Linked DNA regions of Arabidopsis thaliana. The protein of the gene in region 2 interacts with the protein of the main gene of each other region in a pairwise test. Each region holds a gene or a part of one and is shown on either strand. Other genes may lie near its edges. The genes, in order: AGG2, NUDT7 and GG1.

Evidence for each region.
Region 1: the proteins of NUDT7 (region 2) and AGG2 interact in a protein complementation assay, tested with the Arabidopsis thaliana proteins (one study listed by BioGRID).
Region 3: the proteins of NUDT7 (region 2) and GG1 interact in a protein complementation assay, tested with the Arabidopsis thaliana proteins (one study listed by BioGRID).

What each region holds. Positions count from the first base shown.
Region 1 is NC_003074.8:8,131,131-8,139,286, forward strand, and holds AGG2 (G-protein gamma subunit 2), read left to right. Parts: upstream 1-2,946; 5' UTR 2,947-3,344; coding exon 3,345-3,464; intron 3,465-4,185; coding exon 4,186-4,238; intron 4,239-4,318; coding exon 4,319-4,363; intron 4,364-4,452; coding exon 4,453-4,537; 3' UTR 4,538-5,074; downstream 5,075-8,156. Other genes in the region: AT3G22940 (F-box associated ubiquitination effector family protein), read left to right, coding at 338-1,576; ARFC1 (ADP-ribosylation factor C1), read right to left, coding at 5,234-5,593, 6,192-6,383. UniProt on the Arabidopsis thaliana protein: Guanine nucleotide-binding proteins (G proteins) are involved as a modulator or transducer in various transmembrane signaling systems.
Region 2 is NC_003075.7:7,484,098-7,492,744, forward strand, and holds NUDT7 (MutT/nudix family protein), read left to right. Parts: upstream 1-3,203; 5' UTR 3,204-3,497; intron 3,498-3,588; 5' UTR 3,589-3,618; coding exon 3,619-3,762; intron 3,763-3,820; exon of another isoform or gene 3,821-3,907; coding exon 3,908-3,973; intron 3,974-4,057; coding exon 4,058-4,198; intron 4,199-4,270; coding exon 4,271-4,348; intron 4,349-4,573; coding exon 4,574-4,693; intron 4,694-4,756; coding exon 4,757-4,807; intron 4,808-4,909; coding exon 4,910-4,944; intron 4,945-5,027; coding exon 5,028-5,139; coding exon of another isoform or gene 5,140-5,166; exon of another isoform or gene 5,167-5,238; coding exon 5,239-5,460; 3' UTR 5,461-5,558; downstream 5,559-8,647. Other genes in the region: AT4G12700 (calcium ion-binding protein), read right to left, coding at 1-231; AT4G12710 (ARM repeat superfamily protein), read right to left, coding at 943-1,783, 2,269-2,636; FLA2 (FASCICLIN-like arabinogalactan 2), read right to left, coding at 7,501-8,647. UniProt on the Arabidopsis thaliana protein: Mediates the hydrolysis of some nucleoside diphosphate derivatives. Can use both NADH and ADP-ribose as substrates, but not 8-oxo-dGTP, cyclic ADP-ribose, GDP-mannose, UDP-glucose, ATP, or GTP. Exerts negative control of EDS1 signaling.
Region 3 is NC_003074.8:23,413,698-23,421,520, forward strand, and holds GG1 (Ggamma-subunit 1), read left to right. Parts: upstream 1-3,551; 5' UTR 3,552-3,565; coding exon 3,566-3,799; intron 3,800-4,310; coding exon 4,311-4,363; intron 4,364-4,503; coding exon 4,504-4,548; intron 4,549-4,623; coding exon 4,624-4,708; 3' UTR 4,709-5,284; downstream 5,285-7,823. Other genes in the region: AT3G63400 (Cyclophilin-like peptidyl-prolyl cis-trans isomerase family protein), read left to right, coding at 1-97, 186-642, 744-1,085, 1,168-1,248, 1,471-1,738; APG1 (S-adenosyl-L-methionine-dependent methyltransferases superfamily protein), read right to left, coding at 2,119-2,277, 2,354-2,660, 2,755-3,305; TRM5 (zinc finger CCCH domain protein), read left to right, coding at 6,717-6,830, 6,926-7,705, 7,776-7,823. UniProt on the Arabidopsis thaliana protein: Guanine nucleotide-binding proteins (G proteins) are involved as a modulator or transducer in various transmembrane signaling systems.

The DNA.
Region 1 (8,156 bases), on a different chromosome or scaffold from region 2:
TACGATGTAATTTATTTTTATTATGTTTGGTTTATCGATTGTAATATTATATTAATTAATGAAGAATAAAATAATATGTTGTGTTTAATTAAATAATATGTTGTGTTTCTTTATTTTGTATTAAATTTGTTTAATGTAATAATTTGTTGTCTAACATTTGTTTCAATATTATTAAGTATTTTTAAAGTATTCATATTTTAGGTTAATAATATAATAATAGAGAATAGTATTTTTAGTGTGACTTTTGGTGTTGTGGTTGGAGATGAAAAAGAATTTAGTGTGAAAATCACACCAAATATAGTGTTATTCTAACACAATTTTAGTGTTGTGGTTGGAGATGCCCTTAGAAGAGATACTCTCAAGACTTCCATTGAAGTCTACGAGAGCAGTGAGATCGACTTGCAAAAAGTGGGACTCTTTATTCAAAAATCGGAGCTTTATTAGTAAAGCAGCAGCAGCAAGAGAAGGAGAGTCTCAGATGGTCGTGTTGATGGATCACAATCTTCATTTAGTGAGCTTCTTCTTCGGCAGTGATACTTCTGTAGAGATTAAAGGTAAACGTATTTGTCTAAACGACGATTCAGATTCAGAACAAGTCAAGATATCTCAAGTTTTTCACTGTGAGGGTTTGTTGTTATGTATCTTGAAAGATGATAACTTTAGTCTTGTTGTTTGGAACCCGTATTGGGGACAAACAAGGTGGATCAAACCCAGATGTTCTTTCGAAATACCCCAGGGATGTGACATGTACAGGTACGCTATTGGATACGACAACAAGAGACGCAACCACAAGATCTTGAGGTTTATAGATTATGAATTCCATTACCCTCGAGACAACGTTGTTTTGTGGTATGAAATCTATGATTTTGAGTCTGATTTATGGACGACTCTTGATGTTACTACTCCACATTGGTTGATAAATTGTGGTAACCGTGGTGTTACTCTCAAGGGAAACACTTACTGGTGTGCTAAAAAAAGGAACTCTGACCTTTTTCTCAATGCTGATCATATAATCTGTTTTGATTTCACAAGTGAGAGGTTTGGTCCGCTTCTGCTTTTGCCGTTTAGTGATTTGGATGGTGTTGTTACTCTAGCTTGTGTTAGAGAGGAGAAGCTTGCGGCTTTAGTTTGTCACGAGGATGTTGTTGAGGTTTGGATTACGATTAAGATTGAGGCCAATGAGGTATTGTGGAGCAAGTTCTTGACAGTGAATGTTGATTTGGGTGATGAGATTCCGAGTTCACTGACATATGGTAGTTTTTTCATCGACGAGGAGAAGAAAGTTGCTATGATTTTTGATAAAACTTTGGATCGCGGCGACACAGTTCACATCATGGGAGAGGCTGGATATGGTGGACAAGTTGATCTCGGAGAACCGGTTAATAAAAGACGTTGCCCACTTGTGTGCTCTTATGTTCCGAGTTTAGTGCAAATCAAGAAACCTGCAGGATTCCAAAGGAAACAGCAAAGCAAGTTAGAAAAGCGTCAATATGTTCGAAACATATCGAAACTTCGCGCACTTAAAACCCAAAGTTCTTGGACATTAAGTATGTCACTTGAATGTCATCAACAGTAAGATTTATGTTTCTTGGCTCGTACTTCGATTTATTACTGCTATGTTTTAGACTGATACTTTACTAAATATTACATGGCTTCATCAGGAGCTTGGTAGAGTGAGAAAGCATTGCCAGCCGATTTTTGCCCGTATAGCTCCGTCTCAGTTTGTTTCGGGCCATTGTTGAAAGGACTTCCTGTGCGCTTTTTTGTCGATCAATAGTTTAGACCGCTCTTTTTTGTTGCCACTTTCTTGCTTAGGGGAGTCTTTAGATCGAGTTTTCTTCATCTTCTTACTAAGAGCCTCATCGCTTAAGGTTTAGTTGATGCGATGAATCTCGAAAGGATTATGCTTCCATGTTTTTTTCCTTTTTTTGGCATGGGACCATGTTTGTAGGTTTTGCTTCTTGTAACTCCTAAACTTTCATTTTATATGATATTTACATTCTTATCAAAAAAAAAAATATATATATTACATGGCTTCATGCTAAAGGACATGATATTAATCAGATTTTTAAAATTTAAAGATGGTGGAACCTCAGGTTTTCGATAATATAATTTAGAGATAGCTTCTGTTATCTGGCCTAGTCTCTACAAAGTTTTTAAAACCGAACCAGCGACTCGACTAGATGGCATTGTCGATATATCTATCTAGCAGAATTTCAGTAGCAGAGTCTTTTTAGTGAGAGGGTCAGGTGCATTATCAGTCCTTGGAAACATCAAAGACAAGAGCAAGTTGTTCATGCTCAAACTAAAAGATTACCATCCACCATTTTGGGATATATATTCAACTTCTTACTCTTTGACATCTTGGAAGTCTTCCACATCCTCTTCTTCTTAGGTCGTTATCTTCATAAACATCTTCTTCAGTCAAATCTGCCTCACCTTCTGAGTAGCAAATATTTTAAACCAGACCATTTGTACTTCTGACTATTCTTCTGTCCGATATGTATCTCTTTAGAAGATCTTGGTGCATAATGGCCTAATGGGGATCATCATTAATTAGGAAATAAAAATCAATTCTTATATGTGCTGAGAAAAAAAAAAAAAAGCTTTGAAGTTAAAACTAGAAATAATAAAACATATTGGATTAAAGATAATTAATGTGGATCCATGGAATGATCGATCATGACGAGAAATAAAATATTATGGGGAATATATAAAGAAAGAAAAATGTGCAAGATGATTAGTATGAAAATAACATTCCCTTAGTTTCACAATATAAGTGTTTTGGAGAAATTTTTGTTTCGAATGTTTTCAAAATTTTATGCAAATTATAGATTTTTTTATTTTTATAATTATATATATATATTATATGGTCTATTTTATGATTGGTTAACTTTTTAAAAAAATAAACATGAGTTATTGAGGTTTCAAGAAGAAAGTTTTATGTTTATGGCCATCAAGACTGAAATAATGTTTTGTTTTTCTTATTTCCGTCGACTTTCGTCTTTTTCAAAATCGCAACTTTTATATATATTTTTTTCTCTCGCCTTTCGATCATCGGAAAAGCTCTTTTTCAAGTCTCCCCAACTCATAACTTTGAATTTTCTATTTGCCCCCTCATAAAATTTGCTTCTATTCTCTTTGTTTGTTGGAGTTCTCAAGATCTGTTTGATTCTGAATCCTTGTAATTTTTGTATCCAACCAGTAACAAATGGGGTTTTGTGAAGGTTTATGAGTTTCCCATATTCAAATGGCGATCTTTTAGTCTGAGTAAAATTGTGGTTCTTATCTGTTTTTGTTAAAGTTTCGATTTTTATTTTGAGGGTTGAATTCGAGAAATTTTGATGGAAGCGGGTAGCTCCAATTCGTCGGGTCAGCTATCCGGGCGGGTCGTTGATACAAGAGGCAAACACAGGATTCAAGCTGAACTCAAAAGGCTTGAACAAGAAGCTCGATTCTTAGAGGTATTTTACTCTCCTCTTAATCTTAAACCCTTTCTTGTTTCGACGTGCTTGGGCCTTTTGGCTGATTATATCATATAATTACAGATTGGATCAATCTGTTGTTTTTGTGCTTCGGCTCTTTTTGGATGGAATAGTATAAATCTGAGTGGAGTACGGTAGAGACTTTCAAAGTTTGAAACTTTTTTAGTTTTGGGAATCAATTTGATTTAGGGGTTTTTGTTGTTGTTGGTATTCAATGAGTGAAAAAAAAAAAACAGGTTTTGTTGTAGCAGTTGGTATTGTGGGGTTGCTTTTAGTGAGTTAATAGTACTTGTCTCTTGATATAGTTCCTTTTTATATGCTTAACAAGATTGGATCTTAGATTAATGGAATCGATCTGACTTTAAGAAATGTAGTGTAGAACTGTCTCCTTTTAAAGAGATTTTTGTGATGCTAAATGTTACTTGAGTGAGAGAGTAGATCCTTTGCGAACAATATGCTTCTGTTGATAAAACAAATCACCAGGGTCAGTAATTAGGAAGGTTCAAGAATGGTGAGGAGTGAAACTGAAATGTAGTTTAAGCTCTTGAGCATATTTCATTCAGGTGTAATAATATCTTGACTCTTGATCCCTTGAGGTTTAAGCTCTTGTCTACGTAGCTGTTATGACATTTGTGAACTCAAATGCTTGCTTAAAAGCGTTACAAGGTTTTAACTTTCTTCCTTCATTTATTATATTCAGGAAGAGCTGGAGCAGCTTGAGAAGATGGACAATGCATCAGCATCCTGCAAAGAGTAAGAACTTGTTACATAACTGATATCCGGTTCACGAATAATCATTCCACAAGCTTGACTAGTTTCTCGAATGGATGCAGGTTCTTAGACAGTGTTGACAGCAAACCCGATCCTCTTCTTCCCGAGTAATTCTTCTTCTGTTTTCTGATAGTTTCATTTCAATAGACTGTGAGATGATTAGGTCTGATATGTTTGCTTTTGTGACTACTTGCAGAACAACAGGTCCGGTGAATGCGACATGGGATCAATGGTTCGAAGGCCCTAAAGAAGCAAAACGATGTGGCTGCTCCATTCTTTGATCTTCCTTTCCTTCTCTCAAAATATTTTTGTCTCTACTTCTTCCAGAAGAGTGAGTTTGTGTTTTTACGTTCCCGCGGCAGTGAATTTGATGTAATTGGCAAAAAAAAAAATTGATTCATTTGTGCAGTAAAAAATCTATTGATCTTGATGTGTCTCTTAATTTAAGAAGACCACAGTGCCAAATTCACGCCACCACAAGAAAATCTAGCACAGTGGCCGTCGGTGATCCCCACACCAATGCATCTCAGTTCCAGATTGTCTTGGAAAAGTTCTCGTTTCTCGATGGTTTACATGTCGTGTTCGGGCAAGTTGTTGAAGGACTCGACGTGCTCAGGAGCATTGAAGACGAGGTTGGAACTTTGAACAGGATTCCTTCCAAGCCGGTGGTTATCGCAGACTGTGGTGAGCTCTGAGAGAGGCTACAATGGTGTCTTGTCTTGTTTTAATGGTTGCTCTGTTTTTGTTTTTAGTTCGTTTGGATTTTGAGTTTGGTGGTAGTTTTAAATCTGAAACAAAACAAGATTTTTTTCTTCCATATATGAAAATTCTGGACACAGTTTCAATGAGAGCAACCAAAATAGTTGAAGCTTGTTACATAAAAGTCAAGAGGATACAATGTTAAAGAACATATGAAGGAGACAAAAGAAACAAAGAAGAATAGTACGTACTCTCTCTGATTCAGTTCTGGTTTCCCCTTAACTCGTGGCTTTACCGGTAACTTTTTGGGCAATCCAACCGAGCCCATCATACAATCCTTCTCCAGTAACCGCACAACTTGCTTGAATATGCCAATCATGGTTCTTGATACTGTGAAGGTTAAGTGCATCCGTGATCTCAGCAGGAGTCATTGCGTCTTTCAGATCCTGTTTGTTTGCAAAAACTAGTATGACCGAGTTTTGAAGATCCTCATGACCAAGTAACCTGGCTAGCTCATCTTTCATGAAAGAGATTCTGGCTCTGTCTGTGCTATCTATAACCACAATCACAGCATGTGTTCCACGATAGTATGTTGCCCATGAAGTTCTTAGCCTATCTTGCCCACCAAGATCCCATACCTAAAGACAACATATCATAAAAGTAAACATCGCCTCAAATATTCGATTGCCAGTGTCCAACAGTTAGTTTTTGACAGGAAACAATTCAAACTTTAGTAAGTTTAGTTACGTTTATATTCATCATTGAGTTTTGACATATAAGAACACATGCAGATTGTCATAAAACAGAGATGAATTCATCTCAGGCCATGACTTTGACCACTGTATAAAGATGTTCCAAACAGTCCTCTGGCAAAAAAACTAAGCTAATGGGAAATAGCAAACAGTTCCTCCGGTATAACAAACAAGCTAGATAAACAACATCTACAAAAATTTACTATACAAAACCATAAATCGCACATACGAAAACGTTCATTATGAGTTTCTGACACCTTCTCAACCAATCATGACAAGAACTTAGACAAAAACATCATCCATTTTTCAACGAGAAAAATGCACACACCCAAGCAAGAAACATAGCTAGGGACAATAACACAATCAAAAGATGGCAATGGCAAATTTAAGAAACATCCATAAAGTTTCAAACTTCTAAAACACGTCCCTAGATAAGAAGCTAAGAAACAACTTCACCCAAATGAATAAAGAAAGAGTCCAGTACCTCAAAGCGAATATTCTTGTAGACAAGCTCTTCAACATTGCTACCAACAGTAGGATGAGTAGTAACAACTTCACCCAAATGAAGTTTATAAAGCGTCGTCGTTTTACCAGCATTATCCAAACCAACAACAACAATCTTATACTCTTTTGCAGGAAACATCATGAACCAAAACCTCGACATGAATGCTCCCATCTCCTCCAATTTCTATCACAAACAAGATCCTAATCAAATAAAACACATCATTACTTTTACGATCAAATTGTTCTACAAACAGAGTGAAATCGAGAAACCCTAAAGATACATCCTTTAAATTGACCCATCAATTTTACAAACCCAAGTAATTGAATCAGAGAAGCCCAGATCAGATTTGGATACAACGATCCCAGATTCGATAAAGTTAACCAAATCTAAATTATATATATACAAATCGGGAAATTTGTGATCAAACCTTGAATCAGCTAGAATCTGAAGATTGCAGAGGTAAGAATCGGAGATCAAAAAAAGTTCTTCTTCTACTATTTTGTAAGCTTTTGAGGTTCCTTCCTTAAAGCAGATGGGTGGAGAGAAGAAGAAGAAGAAAAGTATGCGGGAAACAATGTCAAAACTGTAAATATGATGATCTAAATTATTAATAACTTTTAATATAACAAATATTAAAATGAAAACTATATAGTAATGTTTTCTTTTACTTACCCAAACGGCTGCAGCCTCTACCGTAATGGCACCGAACACGTCACCGCCATTAGCCACGACGCCAAAGACGAACATTGTTGAAGACTTGAAATCCACAAAGATGTTTTTAAACGAGAAAAAAAAAAACTCAAACGGGCTTAGGGCCTTTCCATATATTTTAGATTATAACAATTACATTTTCTCGGCCCACAGAAGTATATAAAATTAAATAGAAGTAAATTATATTGAGGATTTAAAATAACAAATTTAATTATAATTTGAAATCATGGTTATAATACGATCGTGTGAAATGTTAATTAAATGCTTATATTGATTATTTTATTATTAAATTTGTGCTAATTTTGGTAACGAATCTTATTTTTGTTATTGTATACGATGATTTAAAATATATATATATATATATATATATATATATATATATATATATATATAATAGTTCTAGAAAAGTCTAATTGGATTTTTTAGATCCTATCATAGTTGATAGTTCTCTTTTTGTATATGGCTAGCAATGCGGAATCGACTCTCTACATTAGATTCAATGAAGGCTTGGAATGTGAACTTGAATCGAACATGTGTGTTATGTAACACTCTTATCGAGACACGAGAGCACTTGTTTTTCAGCTGTAAGTACTCGTCGGCAGTCTGGTCCTCCCTAGCGAAACCACTACTCTAGTGACGATTCTCTACAATATGGCAAGCTCTAGTCATTATTATTACTTCTGATCACTGTAACAGAATCCATATATTCTTCCTCTAATACAGTTTTCAAATAATGGTTCATTCGATTTGGCGAGAACGCAATAAAAAAAACACACAATAAAACTCTGATTCTTATCACACATCTTCCTAAGTGAATAGATAAGCTGGAAAAAAAAAAAACTCTCAATCATTTGAAAGGAGAAATATAGTAGATACGAACCAAATCTCCAAACATGGTTTGCATCTAAAAGTCCTTAAAACCTCTCTTGTATAATCTAATTTCAAAACAATTTTGGAAAAGTTACATTTGATGTATCCTAACTTTATTTTTTCTTGGTCGAATTTAATATTTTATTAAAAATAATAATAGTAATAATCACAAAATCTAATTTGATCATTCTTAGGTGGGTAGGTACACTTATTTTACATACAGCCTCGACGGCACCAAAACATAGAATATATATATAAATACAAATACAAATATTCCAAATATAACCTCTCTCCCAAAGTCCTATCATATCAGAAAAAAAAAAAAAAATCCAAATTCAACACTCTCACACTTCGATATCTCCG
Region 2 (8,647 bases):
GTCGTCGGATTTAAGAGTAGCGTTTGAATTGGATGTGAGGAAAGTTGTGATTTTGTCAGATGGGTGAAATAGTGGATCTTCTGGTTCATATGTAGCAGCGATAATGGTGAAAACTACGACTCCGATTACGAGTACAGAGAAGCCTATGCTTCCGATTAAGGATACTGCGTTTTGCCCTAGATTCTCAGGTCGGAAACCTCCGGTTCTGGAAAATGCAGATCTTCCTGACATCTTTGTCTTCAAGATTCGATGAATGTCATTCTCAGAGATTAGAGACAGTGTCAAGAATAGTTATGGCCATGTCAAGCGGAGGAATCGAAGAGCTTGGAACATTTCTTGTAATGTGTGTGTGTATTTTTTTGCCTACACGTGTACATGTGGAGGTGGAGCGACTCTACTTGCGTCGTCATCGAGACATCGACTATAGCAAAAGGACGTTACTTTAGTTTATAATCTGAGGTCAGTGTGGGCTAAAACGACGTCAGTTTGTGAGTTTGTACATTTTTCCAATAGTTGCTGTAGTTAGAAACCATTTTTATGCACTCGGTGAAATAAGAAATCCATTTTTGTCCGGTGGTCTTTTAATAGAGCTCAAGGCCGTCATTTTTACTGTATTTCATTTAAACTGTTTAACAGACAAAGACCAAGAATACCAAACTTCAAAACGAAAATGCCGAATCAATGTGACGAGACAGCGTAAAAAGCATGAGGAAGGGTTCTGATATACACATGACCCATAACCAAAAGTATGTACAAAAGGGAAAGAAAAATTCAGCCTTCAAAACTTAGCAAATGGTTTTTCTTCCAACTCCGGAGAGGTAAGACTAGACCTAAACCCGGCTCTAATTCTTGAATTTTTCCAGATCAGAACCTGAAACACTACAAATCTCGTAATGCAACCTTCTTGCTTCTACGATATCAATAATATTACCACTACGATCGTTAGCTATTCGATTTGGAAGAGATATCAGGAATAGATGCACAAGACGCAGCCTTGTGCTGGATGCTTTTCATGCTCAGCTCCATGCTTCTATGAACCATGTCCTGCAGCAGTTTCTTAGCCGTTTCAGCAGCTTTTTCTGCCCCGTCGACTTGTACTGCAATGCCATAGACAATTTTCTCTAGTGTTAATGGAGTCATTTCTTTCTCACGAGGGGTTTCTCTCAGTAGGTCCAAGAGAACTCTGGCTCTATCTCGGGACTTTGATGTTCCATCTACTGTTGAACTTAGGAGACCCGGGATTGCACCTTCTTTCAGTATGAGTTTTCGGTACTTATCTCGGTCGCTGCGGCATAGAGAAAGCAGAGCTCCAACTGCGTGTTCTATGCTGAGTGGAGAACCATCCTCTACAGTCTCTACTAAAGTCAGAATACCATCTTCACAGCTGGTGATGGCATTTCGCCCGTCCTCAGAGTGAGACAGGATCATCTCAACCAAGGCTGTGGCTTTTTCAGCAAACTTGGAATGTTTTTTGCATTCTTTAAGGAGGTGGATGAGCGGGTAGACAGCTTTAGCATCAAGAATTGGAGCAGAGTACTCTTTGCAAGCTGATAAATTATGAAGGGCTGTGACAGCATCTACTTTCCCTTGTACAGTTCCGGAGCTAAGCATCTGAATCAGAAGCGGTGGAACTCCAGAACTTATAATCATCGCCTTGTTGGCTGGTGCAGCTGAAAGTGTTAGAATTGCTGCAGTGGCCAATTCACGCAAACTAGCATTGTGGAGCTTCAGAATCTGTATGAGAGGTGGAACGGCACCGGCTTTCACAATCTCAATCTTATTCCTGGTCAGAAATCACAACCCAAAATAAGTAATGACCACCACAAGAACTGAAAATGCAAATCTATTTCCACACAGATTACAAAGGATCTGTAGAAAATACTGCTGGAGCAAGTAGGTAAATTACATCCTACATTTGCTATCTTTATCCAAATAGCAGTAAACTACAGGTAAAGCTAGACCTAGAGCAATCAGATCAGTGTCCAAAAAGCAGTATCCTCTTGGTTTCAACAGATCTAAAGTCCAAAATGTAGCTACTCTCAGTACATTCTGATGCCTGATTGATAGAGTTAAACAATTGCCTTAACACTAAAACTACAAATCCAGAACAATGTCATAAATCAAGCTCTGAGCAGAGATTAGTGAAGTCACTAATCCTAAACACTGCCTAAAGCCTCAGATCGAGTTAAATTAGACCTAGAAGACAAGACGAGAGAATCAGTTTCTGGTACATGGCAATAAAACCTAGAACAATCCAAGAGAGATTACCGTTCATTTCTAACGGCGAGGTTAAGGAGAGCGAGGAGAGAGGCGTGACGAGCATCAACGTTAGAGGAGAAGAGCATGGGAACAAGCGGCGGGATAACGCCGGCGTCGGCGAGTTTTGACCTAGCGGAAGACTTAACCGGAGACTTTCTAAGCAGCTTTCGGATTTCCTTAGCGGCTTCAATTCGGAAATCGAGATCTCCATGGAGAAGCTTCTTGGAGAGATGTAGAATCAGTAATTCCTTTGTGGTTTTCCATGTGTTGGTGGTGGTTTCCTCCTCTGCTTCGTCTTCTTCCGATATATTTGCCGTCACCGTTGAGTCGCCGGCGATGGAAGCCATCATCTGATTCTGGTTCTCTTCCACCACCATTATCTCTGTCTCTCTCGCTCGCTTGCTCGCTCTTGTGTTTGTTTCTCTCTAGTCAAAGACGAAACGACGACTTATCGAATCATCTACTTAATTAAAACGAAAGTTATGGTATTAGTTGAAAGAGCCCATATTTCTCGAGGTTAGTTAGTTCACAATTTACCAACCGGGACATTTCAATATTTTAACTTTTTCAATTTTATGCAAGGAAAGAATATAAGAAAGAATTAGCTAGAAAAATTATTTTCAAAATTAACAACAAATCCCGAATATTTATATAACTATTTAAAAGTATAATTAGGTTGTTCGTTTGATCGCCGCATCTATTTGCGACAGCAGCAACCATGATGATATTCGTTTGGTGGACGCAAGACGATGTGGTCAAACGTTAAGGCAAACGCAAGTAGCTGCGGTTAAAAATTGTTGACATCATTTTACTTCAACAATATGCGGTAGAGTTTGCTGCTGCCGTTAGGCGTAATGAAACAAATAGACTAACACAAAGAATAAACGACTACAATTTATAATTTTTCATTTATAAAATAAAATAAAAATTGGAATATATTGTGCGGAATTCCTATATATCAGAACTCATTGATCTGCTGCTTCTTCTGAAAGTTCTTAAGTGGTTCCACGATGTTTCCATTTTGTTCTGACTTCCGAGGCCAACGAGATGAGTCCAATAAACAAAGGGCACGGAAACATTCTTTTTAAATTAGGTTTGTTTTTTTATTTTTGGTTTTTGGTTTTTCCCGGAAATTGTATGAAGTCTTCGTTACAGTTTCTCTCTCTCACCTTCTCTGTATAAAGTCTTCTTGAGATCGAAGGATAACTTCAATTCAATTCTCTCCAAGGTACACACAGGTACAGTTTTCTCCTTCATTCTCTCTTGTTTGAGATTTCTGAAGATGGGTTTGTTAAAAAAGTGTACTTTTTTTTGTTCTCTCTCGTGTAGCTGATTTTTGTGATAAGAAGATTGATTGAGATGGGTACTAGAGCTCAGCAGATTCCTTTACTTGAAGGTGAGACTGATAATTACGATGGTGTTACTGTAACCATGGTGGAACCTATGGATTCTGAGGTTTTTACTGAAAGTCTTAGGGCTTCTCTTTCGCATTGGAGAGAAGAGGTATTAACAATATATATAACTCAGATTCAAGCCTTATTGTTTGATTGTACTGATAACTGATAAACTTCTGAGATATGATATGAGCTCTTAAGAGTTTAGAGGATTGTGATAACATGAGGACTTAGTCAGAGTTTATGATTTGCAGGGGAAGAAGGGAATTTGGATAAAGCTGCCTCTTGGATTGGCTAATCTTGTGGAGGCTGCAGTTAGTGTAAGTTTTATATGAGGATTTGGATTGACGTTAGTTATTGTGATGATTAGTTGAATATCTTCTTGTGTTTGGTGATTTTTTCAGGAAGGATTTAGATATCACCACGCGGAGCCTGAGTACTTGATGCTTGTATCTTGGATCTCTGAAACTCCTGATACAATCCCAGCCAATGCTTCTCATGTTGTAGGTGCTGGTGCTTTGGTCATCAACAAAAATACTAAAGAGGTAGCCAACTGTTCTCTTCTTTGCATAGTTTCGCATACGTTGCTTAACAAATAATGATAATTCAATGAGCAGGTCCTCGTTGTCCAGGAGAGGAGTGGGTTTTTCAAAGATAAAAATGTGTGGAAGCTGCCTACTGGTGTTATCAACGAGGTGATTTTTACATAAGATTGTTTTTGTGATCTTTTACTATCCCGTTAAATATTTACAATCACGGTGAATGACATGAAGAGTTAAATGCTAAAAAGAGGCAATCTTGATGAACGAAGCTCCTAGGATCCTATACCTTATTGTCCTGTGAATGAAAACGAGTGAACTACTAGTAAGGGTTTGGCTTATGAAGGGTGTCAGCGTATTGTTTAGGGGAGTATATTCTAGGAGTTGGTAGTGCTGAGAGTTGTTGGTGAATTGCATAAGAAAGTAGTTCTTACATCTTACAGATCCATCAAGTGTTTACTGATAATCTGTAATGATACCAAGAATGAAACTAAGAGAATGGTGGATATGAAGTTTTGATTGTTGTTGTCTTTTGCTTCTAACTAAAACATTCCAATGCCACAGGGCGAGGATATATGGACTGGAGTAGCTAGGGAAGTGGAAGAAGAAACTGGAGTAAGTATCTGGCTTTCAAAAATTAAGCATTTCAATCATAAGGATCTCTTACTTGACATTCTAATCTAAAATTTGTGTTCTTCTCTTGGCTTTTCTCTTCAGATTATTGCAGATTTTGTCGAAGTACTGGCTTTCAGGTAACTTAAATTTTATTGCTGTAGACACATTGATCTGGCTTAAACGCATTTGTTCCTCATTGTTCAACTCTTTACACTCTCAGGCAAAGCCACAAAGCCATCTTAAAAAAGAAAACAGATATGTTTTTCCTGTGTGTCTTAAGTCCGCGCTCTTACGATATTACTGAACAAAAATCTGAGATCTTGCAAGCTAAGGTAAACCTTTCTAACTTTCAGTGTTGATGAGCCAAGAAAATGTTAAAAGTTACTGACATATATTTCAAATTTAACCGAAACTGGTATATTGTATTACAGTGGATGCCGATCCAAGAGTATGTAGACCAACCATGGAACAAGAAGAACGAGATGTTCAAGTTCATGGCTAACATTTGCCAAAAGAAGTGTGAGGAAGAATACTTGGGATTCGCCATTGTGCCAACTACCACATCATCTGGTAAAGAGAGCTTTATCTACTGCAATGCGGATCATGCCAAGCGCCTTAAAGTATCGCGTGACCAAGCCTCTGCTTCTCTCTGAAAACATTCTCATCTGATTCTGTTTGATCTCGGCATGTGTGTGTCCAGTGTGTACAAAACAGGAAACTTTCTTCTATATTATTCCGATTCTACAAAATTGCGTCTAAATATTTAAGTTTATACCATCTCTATGAGCCACTGTAAAACTTGCCATCGACTTCTAGTCTATTTCCAGTGATGGTTTGATTCTCCCAACGCTTACGTGCTTTTTAAAGATATGAGGCTTAAGAGTGTTACCATACACTTGGTTTATTCTTCCAAAATATCTTCTCGTAACCGGTTTTAAGTTCTCAGCTGTATCGTCTCTTGACCATTTACTACACTGGTAAATGGTGTGAATCCAAGAAAGTGTTAATGCCATTAAAAAGGTTCACATTACTTTGTATATGTACACCAATTTTTGCGACTCGTTTGTACTGTGTGCCTAACGTGAAAAAGATAAGGCATATATGGGCTTTAGCCCCAAAAAAACTTTATAGGCCCCATATTAAAATTATAGTGTATTTATTTTTCCAGAAATAGAAAATTTATTGTAACATGGAAACATCAAAATTTAAAATGGAATAGTTGCTAAAAATACTTGGGTTCACCCTTCACCCCCTTATATTCACCTCTTCTATTTTAATCAATTAAAATCTGACATTTAACAATAATAAAAAGAATTTAATTTTATTATAAAATCTAATTTGCCACTAAAACGAAATTATGTATCGGTTTGGATTTATTAGAAAAGGTTAGGGTTTAGATTTTATGATTAAACGAGGTTAAATATCGGTTTGGGTTTAGAAAGTACGATTAGGGTTTAGATTTTACAATTAACCAATTAAATATTGGTTTAGGTTTATAAACAGATTTAGATTTTACAATTAAACGAGGTTAAATGTCGGTTTGGGTTTTGAAAATACGATTAGGGTTTAGTTTTTTCTTACGATTAAATGAGTTTAAATGAAGGTTTGGGTTTACAAAGGAGAATTAGGGTTTAGATTTTGTAATTAAACGAGATTATATATCGGTTTAGATTTATAATTATAGCTTTAATTTATTATGTAATTTAAGTAAGATTTGACATGACATGTTTTTATTGGTTAATGCAAAAGGAGGTGAATAGAAGGGTGAATAAAGCTTCGTTCAATAGTTGTGGCATTAAATGTTTTGAAGTTTTGCACATTACTTAAAGCAATAAAATGTCTATTTTAGTATCCTTCAAAATAATTACATTTGTTATAAAATAATTACATTTCTTACAAGTAGGTACTAACAAAATCAATTTTTATCTCACACTAAATTTCTTAAATACATCCGATTTTTATTTAATAAGTTAAATCATGATTGTTTTTTTTAATTACACCTAAACCGCAATTTGTAAACCGGATTAGAGATTAACTAAACTTACATGTCCAAAACACTATTAATTATGGATTGATGGAACAAGAAAGATCTAGTATATCTAATAAGAATATCACCACATTAGGTAGGAGCTGATAATACAATTTTTGTTGGAGATGCCCAACCTAGAGATAGAAAAACATTTAATCCCTCTTAAAGCCCTTATTACTATGTGCAATGCAACACATATGGTTAAAAGATATTACGACATTATAATCGGAAGTTTGAACTAACACTCATTTTATCTCGTATTATAATCTTTGTCCCTATTCTGATTTCCTCTGTAATTGAAAGTATACTATATTTCATATTAGTGTAGTTACGATGGAGCATCATCATGGGTCAAATCCAAGCGACCACAAAGGATGTAACATGCATCTTACAGCTCACAGCCTCACACTATTTCGACTACCACCGACACTATCTTTATAGATACACGTGATTCCAACGTACCAATCACTCTTTTGAATGATCATCACATTTTTTTAGAATAAAACATATCAGATCCAACACAAGTGGAACAATTAATTATTCCAAATCTCCACACCAAGTATCAACGTGAACAAAAAAAAGAATATGTAAAATAAATTAAACCGACAGATCACAAAGAAAAAGGAAAACAAGATTCCCAAAGCGAGGTAAATGCCACGTCACTTCACATAAGCCAAACTCCGAAACAGAGCCCGACAATGGCCGTTACGACATTACTTGTTCGAGTAATCATCGCTGATACGGCGCCGTTTTTATCGTCAGCCACCTCAACATCATCATCTGACGGAGCATCGGCGCTAGGTCCGTCGGCGTCAGCCTCCGCGTTCTTAGGCTTTTTCTTACTCGACTTAGGAGCTGGAGCGGACGTCTTAACGGCCTTGTAGATTTCTCTAGGCAACAACACTTTATCGATCTTGTAAACTATCAATGGCTCTTGATCCTTTAACGTCCCCATTACCTTCGCCGTCACAACGTCCGTCTCCAGCGTCACGTCTTCTCCGTCATTTTGAACGGTGAAATCAAACTTGTTGTTACCTTCCGTCGCTAACGTGTTAACGGCGCCGTTACCTGATCTAAGCATTTGTAACGACTGGTAAACCGGCATGCCGTGGTAAAGCACTAACGCAGTCTTGTTCGCCGGAGAAAGGGATTTGAATTTCGGCATGAACTTACCGACAGCGCTGTCGGAGGGACAGAACACCGTTAAGCCTCCGTCTACGGTATCTTGGAACGTTTTGTCGGCGCCGGTTGACTTCAAGATGTCGGAGAAAGCTTTGCACCCTTGTTTTTCGAGGATTGTGGTGAGGATGAGGTCGCTGGGACTCGCCGTGGGAGCTTCTGCTTCCGGCGAGGTTAAGACTTGGCTGATGTGAAGAACAGAGATGTTGTAAGGCTTTTCAAAGACGGATTTGACGTAGTGAGCTGTGAGCTTGCTATCGTCGTCTTGGACACCAAAAGCGACTTTACCGCCTTTTATATCGGTGATGTTGATGTATCCAGAAGTTCCGGTGGCGGATCCGGTGGATTGAAACATGGAGGCAGTGGAGGTGGAGCCGTCGGTGATCTGGTGAAGTTTCTTGGTGCCGAAGTAATCGACCAGGACGTGGAGAGAGAGAATGTTGCGGATTTGGTAGAGTGAGTATCCGTTAGAGAGGATGGAGGACATTGCTGAGTTATCGACGGCCAAGACGGTGATTGTTTGCCGGCGGTTGATCTCGTCGGCGAGATGAGTCGCTGAGAGATAGTGGTTGAAAGTGGAGAAATCAGGGTCTTTGGCCAAGATTCGGGTTATGTTATGTGCATTTGAGAGA
Region 3 (7,823 bases), on a different chromosome or scaffold from region 2:
GGGACGAGTGATGGGAAACCTACTAGCCCAGTCAAAATAATAGACTGTGGTGAAACGTCTCAGATAAGAGCACATGATGCTGCTGAAAGAGAAAAAGGTAATGAAGTTAATCTTTGAATGTGGAGTTTCTATAATAATGATGGAGTTTCTAGAATAATGATGCAGATATATTTAATGTTTATTAGGGAAATCGAAAAAATCAAACAAGAACTTTTCTCCTGGTGACGTATCTGACCGTGAAGCTAAGGAGACACGCAAAAAAGAATCTAACGAGAAAAGGATAAAACGAAAAAGAAGATACTCTTCGTCAGATTCATATAGCTCAAGTTCCGACTCAGATTCAGATTCGGAATCAGAAGCATATTCATCTTCCTCCTATGAGTCTAGTTCTTCCAGTGATGGGAAGCATAGGAAGAGGAAGTCAACAACAAGACACAAAGGCCGACGCGGGGAAAGAAAGAGTAAAGGACGAAGCGGGAAAAAGAAAGCTCGGCCAGATAGAAAACCAAGCACGAATAGTTCAAGTGACACGGAGAGTAGCAGCAGTTCTGATGATGAGAAAGTGGGCCACAAAGCCATAAAGTCAGTGAAAGTTGATAACGCTGATCAACACGCCAACTTGGATGACTCAGTGAAATCAAGGTTTATCTCCCTGGCTTTATGTATTTCAGCTTTGCTTCTGCAATTTGGTGGTCTGATTTTGTGGTCACTGACAAACTTTGCCATTTTCTATTGCTATACAGGAGCAGGAGCCCAATTCGTAGGAGAAACCAAAACAGCAGGAGCAAAAGTCCTAGTAGGAGCCCTGTGAGAGTTCTTGGAAATGGAAACAGAAGTCCTAGTAGGAGCCCTGTGAGAGATCTTGGAAATGGAAGCAGAAGTCCTCGTGAGAAGCCAACAGAGGAAACTGTGGGGAAATCTTTCAGAAGCCCATCTCCAAGTGGTGTGCCCAAGCGCATCCGAAAGGGGCGTGGGTTCACCGAACGCTATTCCTTTGCTCGGAAGTACCATACTCCTTCTCCTGAGCGTTCTCCTCCTAGACATTGGCCTGACAGAAGAAACTTTCAGGATAGGAACAGGGATAGGTAACTTAATCTATACATACATACAACAAAGGACGATAGCTCTGCGGATAGTACTAAAGCCTCATTTTGTTTAATTATGTAGGTATCCGAGCAACAGAAGTTACTCTGAGCGCTCACCGAGGGGACGCTTTAGAAGCCCACCCAGAAGAAGGAGCCCTCCAAGGTTCGCTTTCTTATCTCTGTACAGATTCTGGCTTTGGCTTGGGACGATATAGCTTGTAAACCAGCACCTAGAGCCACTTGCATTAGATTTATATCCTAGAACGACCCTTTTTGTGATATTATTTTGGTTAAGCAAAACATTCTAATTGAATGCTGAAAGTTGAAAAGAGCAACTTTATAGCAATGTTGGATGTCCTCTGAAATTGAGTGTTGTCTTGCATAGGTACAACCGGAGGAGAAGGAGCACTTCTCGGAGTCCAGATGGGTACCGTAGACGATTGAGAGACGGAAGCAGGAGCCAGAGTCCGAGGCATCGTAGCCGTAGCCAGAGCCCTAGAAAGAGGCAGCCAATTAGCCAAGACCTGAAATCCCGTCTCGGGCCACAGAGATCCCCCATCAGAGGAGGACGCACCTCTCCTGCAGAATCACTCAGCCCTTCTCACTCACCTTCTCCACCAGGAAAGAGAGGTCTGGTTAGCTATGCGGATTGATGGTCACTCTCATCCATTGGTTTCTCTGCTGACTTGCGAGTTTTTGTTTTAATTTCCGTGTTTTAGTGCAAGCAATAATAGGTAATGATATTTTTTATGTTGGTCGGATATATAATACTCTACCTTAGTTGCATTATTACAGATCGTGGAACATTGATCAAATTGAGACTGATATATGTTGGCAGAATTGAGTTTGGGAATCGAAGTTTGTAGAAAATTTATCGAACAAGTAGCATAGATATCTCAACATGAAAATCTAGTAATACATGTAAAGAAAGAAGGTTAATGATATTCCGCATGTTCATAGATAGGACTCGAATCTTTCTTTACCACAAGAGGGGTTTACAATGATACAATGATCATGTCCTAGAAGAGAAGGATCAGATGGGTTGGTCTTTGGGAACGATCTGATCCTTGATCCACATGTAGATAGGGATTAACACAAACCAGGCAGCTGCTAGAGTTCCCAGGAGGAAGCGTCCCAAGAAGGAGAAGGGGTTGTTGACAGGCTTCTCTACGTCCTCTTCCTTTGGACCAAGCTGCAGCATTTGAGTGATAAGTTTAGTGTATCAAAGAGAGAAGAAAGTAAAAAAGGTGAAGTGGGAGGTAAAAGACCTGGAGAGGAGAGTCACCGGAGGCAGGTTTAACACCAGTGACAGAACATCCCATGATAAGGCCGTGCCTGCGAACACCACGGTACCACTTGGGGCCAATCCTCTTGAGCTGAACGTCCTTGAAACCGGCATTCTTGAACCACTCAATGTACTCTTCCTCCTTGGGGAAGAGCATCCAGACATCAGAAAAGAAGCGAGAGAGCCAGAAGGTTGGGTAGACAGGGCCGATGAGACACGCTTTGCCACCGATCTTGAGAACCCTGTACGCTTCCCTTATTCCCCTCTGCGGGTCCGGCCAGTACTCAATGCTGTGTGATGATGAGACACACAATCAAACCCACCGGAAAGAAGACGATTATAAGAAGAAGAAGAAGAAGAAGAAGAAGAAGAAGAAAAGGATACCTTCCAGCAGAAACGTATCTGTCAGCATAATCGGTTGGAAAAGGAAGATCCTCAGCATCTCCCTCGACGATCTTGCATTCTTTCAACGGCTCCTTTTGCTTTGCTTTGGCCAGCTGATGTGGCGACTGGTCCAGAATGGTCACATTCTTGGCCTTCACTGTCTTGACTATGCCCAGAGTAGTGAAACCAGTTCCGCCGCCGACATCGACCACTCGCATGTCCGGATGGCTGAGATCCGCTGGCTCAAGAGCGTCGTCTCTCATATCCTCGGTCCAATGCCCAGGATTGATGACATGGTCGTATACGATGGATAAGAACCTGTAGAACCAGTAAGCCTCCTTCTTGTGCTGAATGAACCTAGGTTGCGCCGATGGCCGGGAAGACGACACGCTGCTGCTGCTGCATCTAGTAGCCACCGAGAGTCTAGGTGTGGAGGTTCGGGTAACTGAGAGTAAGGTCGGCCGAGGAATCGATCTGGCATGCAAATTGGAACCAGGGGAACCTAAACCTTTGGGGAAGGTAATGGCCCCGTTGAGCATCAAAGAGGCCATCGATGACAGATCCACCAAGTTGAGAAGAGGGAAGAAGAAGCTTATCTATCACCAATTCTCCGCCAATCAAAAACACAAACGAGAATGAGAGTGTGACTAAACCCTCTAACTCTAACAGAGTCAGTACTGACTCCAACCACATGTTTATGTACGGTCACGTTGTTTGTTGCGACAACACATATCCCTTTGTTGAGCCCATGGGCTCATTTGCAAGAATTGGCCCAAATAATAGTATTGGGCGTTTTGGCATTTTTCTGCAAATGGAAGGGAAAAGTCGATTTGAGTCAGAGAGAGAGAGACTTCGACGACAATTCAAACTTGTACGGACTAAGACCAGACTCTCTCTGACGTTGTCAGATCTGCGACCTGCTAGCGAGAGGATGCGAGAGGAAACTGTGGTTTACGAGCAGGAGGAGTCTGTTTCTCACGGCGGGGGCAAGCACAGGATCCTTGCAGAGCTTGCCCGCGTTGAACAGGAAGTCGCTTTCTTGGAGGTAGCTAAACTAACTCGTATCTCTTTCAAATTCCGACGTAGGTCTCTCGTGGATAGCTCAATTATCCTTTTTAGATCAATTGTTACAACAATTAGGTAAAGGTCGCTAAGATTGTTTCCTGTGAAAGCAAAAACCAGTATGGCAGATCTGTTCCAATCAGAAGAGCATGGTAGTTCTCTTGACAATAAGTGGCACCATTTCAGTCAGTCTTGTTTATGACTCTATGAATTGTATTCCCAAAATCTAAATCTGCTGGGTTCTCTTTGGATCCACTATTGGAATGGTTCTCTGTTGATCTTATTCTTAGGGATGTGCAAGAATACTTTTGATCATAGTCCAATTAGTATCATTCTCTCTTGGTTATCATCTATCGAGGCATGTTAAAAGTTAACCTTCTCCCAAGTTTCTCTGTTGCACAGATAATGTGTTTGCCTATTGTTCCTACTAGTGAGCTCTAACACTTACTAAAAATAGCTTTACTCTCTCTTTCTGTTTCATGTACTATATCCAGAAAGAGTTGAAGGAGGTCGAGAACACAGATATTGTATCAACCGTGTGTGAGGAGTAAGTATGGGATACTCAACCTATGTTTTTTTTTAACGCTTGCAAGCAACTGTGTGCTAGCTCCTGTAGGTATATTATCTGGATTTGACTGAAACTTGTACGTTGATTGGTGATCAAATTGATATTCCCTTGGTTCGCAGGCTGCTATCTGTCATCGAGAAAGGACCCGATCCTCTGTTGCCACTGTGAGTGCTTTTTAAACCTTGAAACTCTAGTGTTGGTTTGGACTGAATAACTGATGGATGTTGTGGTGCTGGCAGAACCAATGGACCTTTGAACTTAGGATGGGACCGGTGGTTTGAAGGACCAAATGGAGGAGAAGGCTGCAGATGCTTAATACTTTGATTCGCTAGACAGAGTAATGTGTTACATATACTAGTTTCTTGCTAGGATATCATTTTACATGGGATCCAAAATGGGGCTGTAGCAGAGAAAAAGCGTACAGATTAATGAGCATTGGAATTGCATAGAACGGCTTAGTTGCACCTACGTAAACAGTATTATATGTATATGTAATGTATGGGATCCGGATCTGACATACGAGTAATGGAGTTTCAGGCTTACAGCTTCTCATCTTCTTATTCTAGATCTTGTTGAAAGAAGCTGAAATGTGCATAGTGATATTTGGGGGCTAATAGAGTAATAGCTAATGAGGAAGTGGGTACAATCTTGAAGACCGTTAAGTGTGTCTCTCTTTTTTCTTTTTAGATAACTTTTGGCCACATCCACCCTCCATGATACACACACGCTAGTTTCGAGGATCAGAATACATACATACCTATGTTTATTATATAGATAGAACGATAATGGAACACAGAGCACATGCCTCATCTGTTGTCTTTTTATTATTACTTATTACTCTTCTCCTCCACTTCTGTATTATTACAGTCTGTTAAAGTAGAACCCCCTTTTGTTTTTTTCTTTCTATGTCTCAAAAATTAAAACAAGTTATGAGGTTTAAAAAAAAAATTGAGAAATGTAGAGGGTATTAGTAGAAGTGATTTACGGTAAGTTTATTCGACAGCTAAAAAGATAGTTTATGCATTCCAAAATATTCCTCAAATTTGTGATGAGTAAACAAATACTGGTAAGGTGGGTTTTCTGACAACCTTTGGATATACAGTAGTATGTCATCTGTTTTCATTGCCTCATTGGTCAAGATCAAAGTTGATGACCTCATTAGAGCTCCTTCTTCTCCCATAAATAAAAAAAAATTGATCAAAGTTTGTAGTATGAATTTGTTATATAAACAGAAGAGAAATTAACACAGAGATGTGAGTTGGTCCAAAAGAAAAATGATTGAGCAGCCGGAAGAAGCACGTTACAACATCTGCAGCATATCTGGTCAGAGAGAGTACAGAAATATTGGGGATTCAAACAATTCACCTCGTGATGAAACCTGAACATTGAAACATGCATTATAGCCTCACTCACATGCTCACATAATGCCAAACCCTTTTTCTCTGTTCCCGCCTTGCTTTTTTTTTTCGTGGCAATAGAATACAATACATTGGTTGGGTGATTAAATAAAGAGAATGACTAGGATAAGTAAGTTAGCCGTTAAAGTTGTAAATCTCGAGTAAGTGAAGTGGTCCGTTTTTATGAAACTCATAAAAACGAAAGTCCCATGTCCCTAAAACACTAGTAGAATGTGGTAACGTATCTTCTTCACATTCACGTTTTCATATGGGAAACGAATGAAATAAACAATGCAAAACGCAATAACTTAATTAGAATCTTGAACTGGCCGATAAGTGCAACCGTAACGGAAAGCAGAGGCAGAGAGAGAAGAGAGAAGAGGGAGAGAGCTGCCTTGGGAATAGATAGAAAGAGAGCGTATCAACGGTGGTCATTACTTTATGATGGCATTCCCAACTTTGAAACTGCCACGTCGATGTCGGTCAACAGCGGGGTCCATATCTCCTCATCTTCCGTTCCATATTTTTTCCACGTGGCATTTTTCTTTCCTCTTGAAACAAGAATTCAGAATTGAATCGTAAACTCTGAACTAGAGTAAGTAAATAATGTATTGACTAGAAGAAGAAGTAAGTAGTACGGGCTGGGTAAGTAAAGATAATAAATATGCGGGGTTTGATCTTTACTTATTTATTAGGACTCAAACTTAGCCATTATTAACTCAAAAATCAAAATTACTCCTAAAACAAGCAGATAGGAAAAAACACAAATAAATAAAAAAAAGGAAATTGAATGCAGAGTTGTCAGAGTGTATTTAAAAAAGAAAAAAAAAGCACGTTAGGAGGAGTATCCTTTAGACTAGAGTAAGGGAGTGGGTGCTTTAAAGAAGCAGAGAAGCGGGAGAAGAGTGTGCAGCAGCAACAGCCAACAGAAGAAAATGGCAAAAGAGAAAGATCTGGAGAAGCAAATCGGCGGTTGCATGGCCGGCTTCTTCAACATCTTCGATCGCCCCAGTCTCCTCTCTCCTAATAAGCGTCTCTCTTCCTCTCCGGTAACTTGTCTATCTCTCTTTCCCTCTTCTCCTGTTCCTAGAGGGATGCAATGAATTGACTTACCAACAAAACAACAATGTCTGTGTTTCTCCAGAGCGCTGAATCTGAATCTGCCTCGGGTAGGACGAATCAGCAGAGTGTGTACTCTACCCCTGAGCTACGCTCTCCTGCGCCGGCTCAACAAAGATCTTCTTCTTCTTCTTCTTCTTCCTCTAGGCCTTGGAGGTTCTCTAAAGAAGCTCCGAGGCTCTCCCTCGATAGCAGAGCCGTCGTGGATGCCAAGGGCTGCCTCAAACACAGACAGATCCGAGCCGATGCGGTTGAGGCTGAGAACCAGCGCGGCTCACCCAGTGTGATCGCACGGCTCATGGGATTGGAGCCATTTCCCCAACAGCCTCTCCAGAGATCTGCATCCGAGTCCAGGGTCACCAGAGACTACATATTTGACTTTCACGATGACAAGGGAGCAGCTCAAGATCCGGCTCCAATTAGGAACGCCCGAGCCCACCCAACCTCAGTAGTACGCCGAAAGAGTTTCTTTGATTCCGGTGATTTCTTCCCGAGAGTTTCCAAAATGAGTGGATTTGACGCTCCCCCGACCGATCTGGAAACCCTCAAGCAGCTTCTCGAAGCTCTTAGGCTCAAAGGACTCTTGCACTCGTCTTCACTCAAACATCAGAGCAGGAATCTCGTCTTCGACCATCATTCTCCGATCAAACCAGTGAGGCGGGATCGCATTTCCCCGAGCGTCAATAGGAGGAGACCAAGACCAACGCTCAAGGAACAGAGGAGAGTCTCTTCACTCCCTTGGCGGAGACCAGAACCTCTCCAGACGAGGATTGAAGACCAGAGTAGCACTCTAGCCGAGGAAGAGGTACCTCATTCATTACTCGACATTTTATCTATCAAAAAGGCAGCTAATGAAATACAAATTCTGTAAGCAGATGTGGAAAGTGGATGTGTATAACAGACAAGGCAAAACCTTATTGGAG